Oreochromis niloticus: one gene and its partner. The protein of the gene in region 1 purifies or fractionates together with the protein of each later gene. This does not show direct contact. Links are inferred from orthologs where the notes say so. Each region holds a gene or a part of one and is shown on either strand. Other genes may lie near its edges.

The links. Proteins that work in one complex are often made in the same cells at the same time.
Region 2: the proteins of sost (region 1) and lrp5 purify together in Homo sapiens (affinity purification with mass spectrometry; 3 studies listed by BioGRID and IntAct, counting the BioPlex papers as one, with this or other methods). This does not show direct contact. The link is inferred for Oreochromis niloticus from reciprocal best matches to the Homo sapiens genes SOST and LRP5.

What each region holds. Positions count from the first base shown.
Region 1 is NC_031973.2:6,392,599-6,399,809, reverse strand, and holds the start of sost (sclerostin), read left to right. Parts: upstream 1-4,209; 5' UTR 4,210-4,416; coding exon 4,417-4,672; intron 4,673-7,211. UniProt on the Homo sapiens protein: Negative regulator of bone growth that acts through inhibition of Wnt signaling and bone formation.
Region 2 is NC_031972.2:39,324,581-39,331,719, reverse strand, and holds the start of lrp5 (low-density lipoprotein receptor-related protein 5), read left to right. Parts: upstream 1-4,062; 5' UTR 4,063-4,338; intron 4,339-7,139. UniProt on the Homo sapiens protein: Acts as a coreceptor with members of the frizzled family of seven-transmembrane spanning receptors to transduce signal by Wnt proteins.

The sequences.
Region 1 (7,211 bases):
GCGTCGTTGCTGGGGCTAAACATAATGTACTCCAATACAGAGTTCTTACCTGTAATTATATTATATTACCAATGGATACTGTTGCAAAAGATCACCCTCTGGTTCAGATTCTTTGATTTTTGGCATAGGTCTGCCAAACTCCCCTGTTAGCATCTTTCACAATACTCTTGTTCATCAGATTTCACGTTGCTGCCAATCTGCAATTTTTGGAAAAAAGTGAACACTTTGAATTTGATGCAAACTTCACTAAAGTTTTATACTCTATCCGTTGTAGCCATTAGAAGAATCTTATATTACACATTTCACCTTGGCGGCATGGCGGCGCAGTGCTTAGCTCCGTCCAAGCAAGCGTTCATGTTCTCCCTGCGCCTGCGTAGATTCTCTTCAGGTGCTCCAACTTCCTCCCACAGTCCAAAGACATAAACATTAGGCTGGAATGTGAATGGTTGTTTGCCCCTCTGTACAACAGACTAGAGCATTTACCTGACCTCTCGCCCTATGACAGCTGGGATACGCTCAAGTCCCACCTTGAACCTGAATTAAATAAGCAGGAAAAAAAATGGATGCATGGATAAAAACACTGTTTAGCCCAAGTGTGGCAAACTCATTTTTATTCATTCGACAAATTCTTACAAGTTTGCACTTAAGAAGTAAACCATGTTTTTAATAAATTACATTTTAAAAATGAAGAACAATTTTTTCCCCCCTTTTAAGGTGTGAATTTTAGTTTCTGATAGCACCAAACGGCTGCTAAATATAGTGCCGCATTTTAACAATGAAGATGAAAATATAAGTAAAAATTGGAAATGGCCAGAAACACCACTGCAGTGTTGCTCTTTATGTTTTAAATGTGTCACTATCACTTTCTATCAATGTTTATGGTTATGCCATAAACATTTTCCTCTACTTACAGATTTTGGCAAAATTACAAAAAAATGTAGGCATCTCAACAGCTTTTGATTTTTGTACATTTTAATTTATTTCAACAATCATAAAAATGATCCCAGCATATTTTATTCTGAATTTATCTTTGGGTCACTTGATATTTTGGGGCATTTACACGCCAAAATATAAAATATATATTATTTAAATGCACTGAAAATACATTCAGTCTAAAAGGGTTTTATAGAATAAACTCCTACATGTTATGAATATCATAAATTATAACAGAAACCATGCAAACACATGAGATAGCCAGTGCATAACTGTGTTTTTACTGGCAAATATGCATCTATATGAAATGCACTATGAGTAAGCAAAACAGTTGAGGTTAATTGGTGCAAATATGTGGTAAATTTATCATATTGTCTGATGAAAAAGATAAAAATGTAAGATCATGGCTGTTGAACAAGTTTCTTTTCCTTCTTAAACTATTTATTGACATCAGCTTTTGTGCAATTTCCCATCATCACATCAAACAGTCATGTGAATAATGCGTTACAGAACATTCGAACAGCCGACTTTTAGAACAACACCGTCTGGACATGATGATTTGCTTCAGGAGTCTTTGTGTTGATGGCCCTTTGTTAGCTAAGACCACACAAACCACACATCCACAACGATCATAATCTAAACACGACATACCTAAAACAGGCATAACAACACTTCTACATTAATGAGTTGAATGACTTGAGTCGTTCTGCTGAGCTCATATGAGCAGGCGGTCAACAATTACAGTATTTATCCGTACACACACAAAAAAATGCTAAATTACTGTAAAAACTGTTTTGTGGTTTTACAGCAATGTGTCATGATGTTTGAAGCTGTACTGCAGTTGCACAGAAAGTATCAAAATTTGTCTTTATGTACTTTTTTTGAAAGTAAAAACTGTTTTTCAGCTCTGACGTGAGTATTGCTTAAGGAGCAGCTTCACTATTGTGAACAACAGAGTTACAGATCCAGGTGCTTTTTAAGTCTTTTTAACTACATTTAATTTTCAGGGCTTATTAGCCCATTTAAAGACTGTTTTCTCTTGTTGTTTGAAAGTTCCATGTTCTTATCTTCATTTCTGCTAAGTGTTTTTGCTGTGTTGTGTTTTTTTTACTTTACTTTTAATGCAGCTTTAGTTTAGCCCCAAGAAAAAAAACTTGTTCTCACTAAACCAACATTTGACCTTTTTTTTTAAATTCCATCAAATCTAGTAGCAGCTATAAAACAACACTATTACATACCTACAGTTGATGCAGGAACGTTTACACATGAAAGGACTGTTAAGCTCCTAAAGGCTGGACTGAAAATGCAAATTTTAAAGATAATTGGATTTGACACTCAAGAAGAGTGGCCCCTATACGAGGCTTTTAGAAATGATGAAAAGCTCTGTTGTTACTTTCTCTTCAGAAGAAAATGTTTTTGACTGGCTGATGTTATTTAAAACTCCTTAACAATAAATTTAATTTAATCTTATCCCCATTATGTTCACCACTTTAAATTGTGATGGATGGGCCAGTTGGCCAAAGCTTCAAACCCTCATTTGAGGCTTGTATAAAACTAGAAAGACCATGAGGAGGGTGTGTATGATTATGGAAGCACATCGGTGCCTCAATGAGCGGTTAGAGCGATGCGATACTGACCAAGAGAACCACTTTAGAGTTTAAGAGATAAAAACCAAAGATCTGCATGCCTGTACCCATCAGTAGAGCCGGACAGTGTCATGCAAAACTTGTGTAGTCTCCCTCAAGAGGGCAGTGTTTGAATGGAAGAGCCTCCATCTGTCAGCACTTATCAAATCACTGGGATATGAGGGGTGCCAAGAACTCACAGTCTATAACATTTTATTTAAAACAGATATGTGGATATGAAATATTGGATTGTCATGGCAAACATTTAAATTGTGTTCAGAACACATGTTGCTGTGCTCATACTTTTTTAGATTTTCACATCTCGTTATATTAAGTGTCTCTGCTGAGACGTGTAATGATGGGTAATTAATGTGAAGGATCAAATGATTAATTTGTGTACAGCCTTGAGTCAAAGACAGGGTAAAAACGTGTCTCGGGTGGAGTGTGTGTGGCGCATGTTTGCTGCAGCAGTGGAACAAGTTGCACCCTGCGATGAAGTCCAAAATAAACCCCCTTGAAAAAAAAAATGCTTTCTGAGACACGTAATGCTGCGGAAGCTGTTAAAGAAGGGGGAGGAGAAGATGCACCGGTGCACTTAAATCCAGTAACAACAACAGCGGCACAGAGCGATGTGCAGATGAGCTGCCTCACTCAACACTCTCTGACATAAGTAAGCTCCTCTCCAGTATCTCTTTTTTTATTTCTCTGTCCTTTCAACCCTTTCCTTTGGCTTTCATCCCCCTTATCTTAACTCTTTTTACTCCCATTTCCTCCACTCTCCTCTGACCTTTCCCTCTCTTCTCCTTTTTCAGTCTCATCTCACACCCAAGGGTGTGTTTAGAGCAATGGCACAGGGTGGCACCAGCCCAGAATTATTAGGCTTATAATCCCCAACACCAGTGGATAAGAACATGGATAAGTGGTAGAGCATAACTTCAGAATTTTACTCAAGCATTTAACTGACCAATGCAGACATCAGCCTGGTTACTTATTATATTGTATGTAAAGGTGATTAAAATGACATGTACATTAATGAATCAATTATTATGACTGAATAACATAATGAGTACTTTGAAGCATTTAAAGATCAAAAAAAGAAGAAAATGTTACTTTTATTTCATGTAGATGGAAATATCACCACACTGTTGCTCTATATGGCCAAACAATACACATTAGCCGTTTGTACCATTTCAGTAAGCTTATGGCTTTTACTTCAGTAAATGGTCTAAATACTTGACAAAATGATTTTCAGGCACTTGTGCAGACACTTTTCATATAGAACATATGTACTCTATGAAGGCATAAGGCTGCACACAAGCCTGGAAATCTTCCCTAATATCCTCTACACTCTTTTTTTAAATTTCTGATCAAATATTCTGGTTAACTATTTTAAAAATAAGTAAATAAATAATGGAAGCACTCCTGCTCATATCTGTATTTTCCTTCACTGCGGTCTCTTCTTCCTTGATCTTCTCAGTTTTCTATTACTTTTCTTCTTCTCTCTCCTCTCTCTGTTACTCCTCTCCTGCTCTCTCCTCTCTCTGTTACTCCTCTCCTGCTCTCTCCTCTCTCTGCGCATTCATCCAAACCTCTCCCCTCCTCCTTTCTCAATGAATCTCTCGGCCAGGTTCAATCCCTCCCACTTTGTGTAAGCGCCTAATTGTCAGCCCTGACGAAAACTTGCGCAGCGCTTAAATACCGCATTCGCCTCTTGCTTTGAGAGTGCAAGTGACCAGCCTGTTCAGAAGGACATCTCTTGTGTATGTGTGTGTATGTGTGTGTGTGTGTGTGTTTTATTTTAACAAATTTTTTTTTTTTTAAATCTCCTTGTGTGATTTATTCCTGCTGACCGACAAGCATGCAGGTGTCTGTGGCCCTCCTCGTCTCCAGTTCGGCTTTCCTGCTGCTCCAGGGATGCTGCACCGCTGTGAAGGGATGGAAGGTTTTAAAAAATGATGGCACGGAGATTTTACCAGAACGCAGAGAAAATACGCGGACGCCGCTGGAGGCAATACTACAGCCGTCCAACAGCAACAATAACAACAACAACAACAGCAACGCTATGAATAACAGGGCAAAAAACGGCGGACGGGCGGCAAGCACAGTTTCCTACAGTAAGTATCATAAAGATGACAGAACAAATGTTAAATATTTAATTTTACAAGTTAAATAAAATGAGAAGGTAAAGATCAATAAGTAAATCGACGCAATGCTTAAAGTTTAAATGCTGGAGTGATTTAATTTGACCTCTTAATTGGAGGCTCTTGTGCGTAAAATTAACCATCCGTCAGAGCTTTATAAAAACTCATTAAAAGGCTTAAATTTAGAAAACTTTCGGATTTTATCGCATAAAACCTATTCCCAGCTTGTATGAGAACAAGCAGGAAGGAGCATAAATGTTTATTTATTTGATTTTAGGTCCCCATTTTCAATTAGTGCACGTTTATAAAGAATAAACGTGGACCCAACTGCGCTGTACACCCAACCTTTACTTAATACACAAAAATGTGACATAAATTAGGAAAGTTTATTTCTCATTATATTTTCCACATTTAAGAATTTTAAACTTTAATTCAACTTTTTTTTGGCTTAAAAATAAAATAAAATTTAAAATCTTGTGTCAAAAATATTCAGTGTATGTGGAAAATGTAGGCTCTCCAAATTAATGTGGCTTTTTAAAAATTGCCCTAAAACACCCTGCCTCTACATCCTGCTTCATTATCACATCAATTTCCTGATTAAGAAGCGTGTAAAAGGTCTGGTTTAATCCAGAGGTGAGGGTGATGAGAGCGGCTCAGACGCACATTCCTGTGGTTTCTTCCCCTACACACAGCAGTCAGTGAGACATCGGGGCTTTTTCACATTGTCTTCCAGGTTGTTTCCTTCTCTCTTCATACTATTAGTCAAGCTCTACTTCCACCATAACTATTTGATTGCAACAACATGTCTCCCAAACAGAAAAAACCCCACAGTTTGCTCTTTGGGGAGATGTCTTTGGGGGGGTTTTAGAAATTGCTTTTTAAATGCAACACTGCCTTTGACAATGATTCCCACCTGTGGCCGGTAACGGTTGTGTGTTCTGATTAAGTAGCGCATGCAGGATAATCTCATGCTTGGTCTCATGGATTCGAGATGGGTGGTGCAACATTTTTGTTAAATTATGGCCCCTTGATTTGGAGATCAGAGGAGATGATTGATTAGATTAGAAGAGCAACAGCTGACAAGAAGTGAGTAGTAAGTCGAGGAGAGTTAGTGTGACTGATTTTCTTGTCTTAAAGGGTAGAAAAAGAAAAAAAATCACACGCCAAGCAACAGCTCCAGAAGATCTCATTTAACAGGAATTTATTCATTATTAGCAGGGATGGAAAATGCATCTCTTGCTTTTACAGTGAATGTGCAGCTAATGAAGGCAGAACTCTCCTGGATTATTTTCTTCACCCATATCTTAATTTTCAAGTTATCCTTCCCCCTGTGGGGTCACAAAAGAGGCTGTGACCACTGCCTGGCCTCCCTCCAGTCTTCCCCAGAGGCTTGTCTCCCACAGCTGAGGGAAAGGAACAGCTCACGCAACTCTACAGTAGTCTAGTGTGTAATCATGAAAATTTGAGGCTCATTAGTAATTTTAAAACTAGGGTGGAGAATTGAAAATGTTAGGCTGGATTAAAACACATCCTGGTGCTTCATAAATAAGACAACCTGTCTTGGCATATGGTGGTAACTGGTGCAAACCGCCACCCGGTGTACGCTGTAGGCGTTGTATACTTCTGCGGTCGCCTTCACCAGCAGCCGCAGAATAACACTAGATCATGTTCTCGTGAGGAGAGGGGAAAAAAAGGAAGTCACCTCACATAAATCCTTTGTTCAGCCCTTTTTGCAAAGAAAGCCACAGAGGAAAACAGATCCTTCTCCGAGTGTATCATTTCTTAACCAACAGTTCTTTTGCCTCCTCGATTTCTTTCTTTTTTTTTTTAAACATGCAGCTTGTAAGAAAAAAGAAAAAGAAAAAAAACACAGGACAATAACTCATGCGTACGGCTGTTAAAAAGCTGCAGCTGAAATATAGGATTACAGCCTGAGTGTGCTGTCTCGAATCAGCCTGGCAGATGTCCAGTTTATTCAGAAGTGTACAGTTGTAGCGCTGCCTTAAAATAACCAGACAGCTATTTACTCTTCCATCACCACATACATTTCCTGAGGGCCAACGGTGAATGCCAGCTTTTTCCTTCCAGACCAAACCTCCGTTCGGTTTGATTGAGCTGTTTAATGGCCCTCTGGTCTGGATTTGCTATCAGCTGATTGCTGCCAGCTGGATTTCTTCGTCAGGCCCAGTTGTCAGCTAATGATCAGACCATAAATCAAATTCAGAAACTCTGATCTCATTGGCTTAAGCCTCCACTTAAAAGTACAAATTACTGTATTAGGCTGAATTTAGAAAAGTGGATTTTTCAGCTGCTCTTTTGTGTCTCGTAACGTGTCGGAGCTGAAATGAAACGCTGCCTCCGGTTCAGACTTTATTTGCCTTACGTTGTTTGTTTTTCACATAAATAACGCAACACGTGAAGTCACGTTGGCATAAACAGACCGAGGCAAATGATCACACACTGAAATAAGACACAGCTGCAGTCGCCCTGCAGAAAGTCCGCAGCACTGTGT
Region 2 (7,139 bases), on another chromosome or scaffold:
AACACTTAAATGAAAGGCAGGGTACTCTCACAGAATTGCACGTAATACTTTTGGTGTAATCTTTGAAGGATCTTTTCTAAACTCTCTAAAAAAGTTCTTTGAGAGTTTGCTTTTCTTTATTCATCATTTCAAACTACAAAAAAAGTCAGCTACTTAGAAATGCTTTTGGAGCTTCTTTCTGCATATTTATAATGTTTGTTTTTTTTAGGGTCCATTCTAAGTTATTGTGATTGTATCATGGTTCACATCTACCAGATTTTACTAAGAAGAATGACTTTATCAGTAACTAAGCTATGTATGCCTGTATTTGTTGGGAGGGGTGCCTCTATGGCCCATACATCCAATGTCATGTCCTAAATTAAAACACCTGACTCCAAGTAGCATACTGGAAGGAGCCATTTACACAATCTCCACGATTCTTGTGTTTGTGTTGTAGATGAAATTTAGACCACAGTTCATAAACAGTGAGTGCTGATATCCTATTGAGTGACTACTTCAGTAAGTATTTTTTTGCATTTACAATAGTGCATGTTATTTGCTGTGGTATGCCAGCTAACAACAGCTGCACAACACAAGAGAACCTTCCAGTATCTGCAGAAAATTTATATAAACACATAACGTATAATGCTGTATACAGCCTTTATCTGTTTGTTTTTTTTTACATTACTTAAGAAACTGATTTTGCACCTTTTTTTTTAGTGTGATCTGGAAATTATGTATTGTCTACTTCACTGATTTTACTGAATAACCAAATCCAACATTTGATTCATAAAACAATGGAACTGAATGAATTGCGATGAACAACGCCGCACACACTGGGGTATTAAACAATAAAAGGCTTTACACATTTAAATGTATCTAAATGCATTTTCTTGGTCAACACTATACTGAGTGCAAAAGTGTGTGTTTGACTGACTGTACTTAAACTGCTGAATGAAATTAGACAGAATTTTCTAGTTTATTGTGTCTAAAGATATCCAGAGGAAGACAATGATAATTTATTTCGGGGGAATGCTCCAGTGTAACATAAGGACATTTTGTCATGGTCCCCGTGCCTGCTCGGCTGGCCCTGTGTGGCTACATGTGTTGTTTTTGTCTCTCTCCTCTCTCTCTACTCGCTGCCTGGGCGGAGCTCATAGTGGGCTCCCGCTCCTGGCCTTCACCACCTGTAGGCAATCACCTGTGGCTCCTCACCTTGTTTGCTCTCGCTACTTAAGGCAGTGACTGAGAGCACCTCGCCGCTGGACTATTGAGTAACGCTCGTCAGTGCTACTTTAGCCTCAGCCAGTTTTTGAGCTCTCTTCGTGAAAGTTTTCCGTGTTAACTCTTGTTCTCTGTATACAGATTTCTCGTGCTTGGTTTGGAAATCTGGACACCTAAGCCTGTTCGTGAGTGCCGTAGTGAGAGTGGCGTGTGTGAGGAAAGGACCTTTCCAAGCGCGCCGCTCTGCCCGAGTGGGGCGGAGTAAGAGAGGACACTTTTCCCAATTTTTCCCTGTACCCCTGGGAACCCTAGCCCCCTTCTCCTTCACCAGTGTATAGTGCACCAGGAGTGTGTAAATAAAACCAGTTTTCTGTGATTTCAGTCTGCGCCGAGTCCTCCCTGCTCCCTCGTGACACATTTGTGATTTCACTGTATTGCTGGCAAAGACTGAAAATTTGAAGTGAAGTAACTTCTCTTCCTGTTCCTCTTGCTTATTTGCAAAAAGGGAAATGCAAAAGTAAATGCTCTCTGTATCATGCTCGGGCAAGAACAATAATTCTTAACTATACAACTTAGGACTTTTTTTTTAATTAATGTAATCAACAATCAAGCACATTTTTAGGGGACACACAATTTTCATCTGTCTCTACTTTGGCTGGCTGGTAACAGCAGCACACAGTACAAATGACAAGAACTGATAATAATACAAATAATTGTCACACTTTTTTTTTTTTTTTAGTTATGGTCACATTTGCTAATGATTGTTTCATACAGCAGTATACCATATAGCACAGGCATTTTTTTTTTACATGTATTTTTCATTTTTAGAGTTTTTAATGAACATGACTGACAGGGGATTTCTTTAAATCACCCTGCCGTTCTTTGTTCAGCTGAGACACCTGAGTTAGAAAACACAAACACTGCAGATTTTCTTTAACTCGCGAGGGCAGCCATGGAACGCAGGATCTGCGTCTCATCTCTGTCTGCGTTTTTTATTTATACAGTTCTGTGTCTGTGTGTGTGTGTGTGTGTGTGTGTGTGTGTGTGTGTGTGTGTGTGTGTGTGTGTGTGTGTGTGTGTCAAGGTAACAACGTCACTCAGAGCAGCGGGTTTTTCCCTTCTCTACTCATAACAGAGCTGAGCTCTTCTCTACATCTAAATGTTCTTTAAAAACAGGAAGCGGTTAGTATCTGCATAGGTTCATCACAAGTTACTAGGTGAAAAGTCACGTAGACATGTGCTTAATGAAAGGATACATTTCATGTAGCTGATCACATGTATATACAATTTTCCTTTGACAATGACCTTGAATGTAATCAAATATGATGTGTAACATGGGCCATATCAAAAACTGTCTTCTTCCACTCACTTTTTATGTGATTTGAAAACATGGATTTTATTGGTTAAATGCTACAAGTCCTGTTTGCAGGCTTTACAACAGACCACTGGAGGATTTGGTCCTGATTGGTATTTGATGTTTCCAAGCCATAAGTAACAATCTCAGGCTCAGTGTATTTTTTTTAATTTTTTTTGCATGATTATTTGTTATTGAGTGATTTCCATAAAATTCATCTAAAAATATTACGGAAATCACATTACCAGTTATACACCAGTCTAACAATATCAATAAGTACTATCTTCTTTAACTGGTTGATGATTACATGACTTACTTGCCCTTGTGCTTAAAACCAAGCACATTTGGGGAAGACTGAGGTATGCTGCAATACATCCTGGAACTCAGTTTGATTTTTTTTTTTAAATGCTGGAGGCCAGACAAAAACAAGCTGGAGTTCTTGCTTAATTTGAATTGCTGTTTGGTTACTTTAAGTTACATGGTTATCCTGTATCAACATCAGTGTGTTTAATAAGGTCTTGATATTCTGTCATGACTGACAGGGTGAGGGTTGTTAGTAAATGTTGCTGTCACTAAAGACACATTTACTGATTTTTATTACTTATTAATTGGATATTTTATTAATAACAAAATGGGCAAATCCATTTAAAAAATCCTGCAAGTGTGGGTTAAAATGACCTGTTGCGTCTAGCATGTCTTTTTGCAAACCTATGAAAAAAAGTCAGCTTCATTTCCAAAATCAGTTGCAGCTGATTTTCAATCAAGTGTGGCAGTTAAAAAAAAAAATCTACTTTTGAAATGATTCTATTTCGTACAAGAAATAGTTTAATAATGTTTATTCTTCCCAAACATATCATTCTTCCTGTCTCTGAATTTCATCTGTATCTGCAGCCATTTACGACAGACCTATGTATCAACAAACAATAACTGCTGTTTGATGAATTTTACTTCAAAACTGTAATATTGCATTCTAAAGAGTCCTAGAATGTTATTAGAAAGCAAAACTTAACTTGGAGAATTGTAATATGTCGCAGCCATCCCTGATTCGTGTTGAAATATCCGACTTTCCAGATTTAATAAATTCTGTGATTCGTTTTTTCATTTGCTATCATCTTTAATGACGTGGATTATTAGCACACAGAGAAATCCCAGTTATTTTAAGTGTCTCCCCCCACTCGGCATTAACAACAAGTGGAAGGAGCCTCTTAACTAGGAATTTCCTTTGTTTCATCCTAGTTTTACAGAGGTTCACTTCATTTAAAAGTCATACTTTACATCTTGTTTTAGAATTTCATGTGCAGGGACATAAAAGTCTGTCCTTAAAGCAACAGAGCAGCGTTTACTTTAACTGCTGTCCAACATCTGATATTTATGACATTTACACAAAAGTCAAATTAGTAAGAATAAAAAATGGGACAGCCTCGTGTTGAGTGACGTAATTCCACGCCCGCATGCCCTTTCTCTCAGTGCGCGAGCTCGAGAGTCCAAAGTATAAAGTAGCGCGAGCGCCTTAAGTGGGACGGGGTGGGGGGGAATGTAGTCGATAGCGAAGGATACACAGAAGCGCACACTCCTGCATGCAGCCACATCTGGCTTTACAGTGGAGCACAGACCATATGTGTACATGTGAGCACTGAGGAGTGGAGGGCTTCACAACTCGATTGAGGAGTAAATATAAGAAAATGGACCCGGAGTTATGGATTTAAAGTGCAGAGGACTTGAAATGGGCGGTCTACTGGTGGCGTTGCTGCTCTGGAGTTGCCTTCTGTCGGCGGTTGACGGTACGTTTACTTTTTGTTCACAACATGGATCCTCAAGAAAGGTGGAAGCACGAAAGCTGATAAGAACACTGGTGAACACGGTCCGACCCTGCCGTGCATTTGTGCACTTCACTGCCCTCAAACGTTTTCCACATTTGGTCAGTCTAAGTCTAGCAGCGATTTCTTGTGTCAAACTTTAGATTTTTATATCCCAAGGGCAAACCAACACAATGGAAGTCTTTAAACTTTGAATTGGTGTTGGCGACACGCTCTATGAGAAAGCTTGTGTAACCAAACGGACCCCTGCTTTCCCCCTCAGTTTTACAGCCGTCACAGCCAAAGGAAAAGAAATTAACTTTAAAGTCAGCCTGGCTATTTTGTCGGGCCTCGGTAGCTCCAGCCATTCGTGCTCGGTGTCGGATGTCAGCCAGTCTTTCTTCTGTAATGGTGCAAATACGCCGGTATGTTTATTTGAGAAAGAACACAGCAGAGAACAAGGCAAACATTTTCCAATCAGGATCGATGTCTTTATAAGCATTCCCTTCTCCACCGCCTGAATTGCGCTATTACTATTTAATCGCCTGAAACTGCTCAGCGAGAGGCGGAGCTTAGTTTTCTCTCATATGGATACATTTTTGCAGGTCCTGGTGCTTTCTATACAGCCCCTTACAGATCAGGCATATTATTTCATGCTCCAATAACTCCTATAAAATTAACTTCTAAGAACTCTAGCTCCCTTTAAGTTCACTCGATTGTTTTTTTAAGGTACAGGTGAGACCGATTCCAGATTTGTTGATGAAAGTCGCAATCTTTGCGCTGTTTTACAAACTGCTTTTCTACTTTCCGTCAGTGTCACTGGGTAGTTAGTTATAACTTTGCATAACACTAATTTATATAAGAAGAACGGCCAAAGTGGAGGTTATACTTGGACTTCATTGTAACTTAACAGTTTGAGATATATGCCGCACCTACTCAGCTATTTTATCATTAAAATTTTCCTGAGTCAGCTACCTCATCATGTTTTCACTGAGTTGGTTAGCTGGTGTGTGTGTGTTAAAATAATCTTACGTGTTTTACTACTCAAAAAAAGAACATGAAGTGCTGACTGTGTAAATTTAGATTATGAGGTTCAAAAAATGAACCACTATCCTTGACTAGATAGTAGATCCTTTAGATTTTCATTATTCCTTTTTATGATCTCTAAGTAGCTCATACACTTTCTATGATATATTTCTGATTATCTTTTAACTAAACACAGCCAGAGAAAATGCACTAACTACTCACTCATTACTTATTACTCCAACTACTTTCAACCCTCTAGTAGTAATTCCTTCATGATTAACCTTACAGCTGTGGTATTAGGTAAGGAACAATTCTAAGCTTGAGAGCTGGGCGAGTAATTTTATTTTTCTTTTAGTTTTCACTTCAGTTTAACTGTAGAGAAGACACAGTGCTTTTTATTTAACGACATATAAATAACAGCAATAATTTTTTTAAAGGTTAGGGACTTAAAGAAAACCTAATAGTTGATAGAAAATAAAATGAATTATTGCAGTATATAAAAGATACATTTTATGTTAGTCATCTGCAGCACTTAGATGCTGCAAACATGTTAATGCATCCAGTAAAATACTAATGAAGCCTAATTTGTGAGCAAAGAATACTTTTTAAACACATTTTGTTACTAATATTTACATCATTTTCATTCAGTAATGGTTCAACAGAGGTCCTCTAATTTTGTTCGAGTATGTTTAAGTTGTATTTTGCTAGTTTTGCCTCAGCTCGACTGTGTCATCGTTATAATTTAAGTGTCCTCTTATTTAAAGTGAAGCATATTTAGTTAGTAAGGACTTCAGTTTTGTCTTAACAGTTTTTTTCTAACAGCACAGTAGGCCAGATGAAAAATCCCTTAGGCCTGTTGTACTATTTTCAAGTGAAATCTTTCACACACTTTCAGATGTGTCAAATGGTAACAAAGTCCAACAATAACCTGTTGCTCAAAGTAACATATTTATCTTGTACCCTTGAGAAAGCATGACTCTGTTTCTTATCACTTACAGTTGAAAAGAGTAATGTAAAATTAAAACATACTGTGTACAGTGTCAGTACTGAACTCTCACCAGCCTCTAACCTCCACTGGTACATAGTGGAACTTTAGGTCCACATCACTGATATAACCATAAGAAAATTCATCCAAATCATGTATATGTTTCCTACAGATCCACATCTAGGATGTATTTGTATGTGCTTGAGTCTATGCCTTTCAAGAAAATCTCTCATCCTGAACTCAATTTCTCCCATTTTGGACCGCAACTGACCTTGTTTTGCTCTTTACCCTTGGTAACCATGAATCACTTCACCACCTGCCCCAGGTTCATTGTAGTGTGGTGCTTAGCAGATTTCCAGAGAAAAACAGTTGGAGCTGACATACACTCAACCACAGGATGAGATCCTTTCTGGGAGGCCACTGAAAGACAGAGGACTGCCACAATAGCAACATTAGCTACAGATTATGCAAATAATATACCTGGCTGGCCACCCAGGTATAAGTAGTACACTCTGTGTGTGGAAACCCTAAGATAGCTTTGCCTGTTAGGAACATGACTATTAATATGCTGATTGACATTAGAATATAGCAATATCTATACACAGTATCAAGCATTCCATAGTTAGCATTTTGCAGCACCACAGTGATTGTGTATTAATTCAGTTCAATTTTATTTATATAGCACTAAATCACATCTTGATAATAATGAATTACAGTAGTCCAGCCTAAAAGTAATAAATGCATGAAAGCAGTCCTACATATTTGTTTAATATGC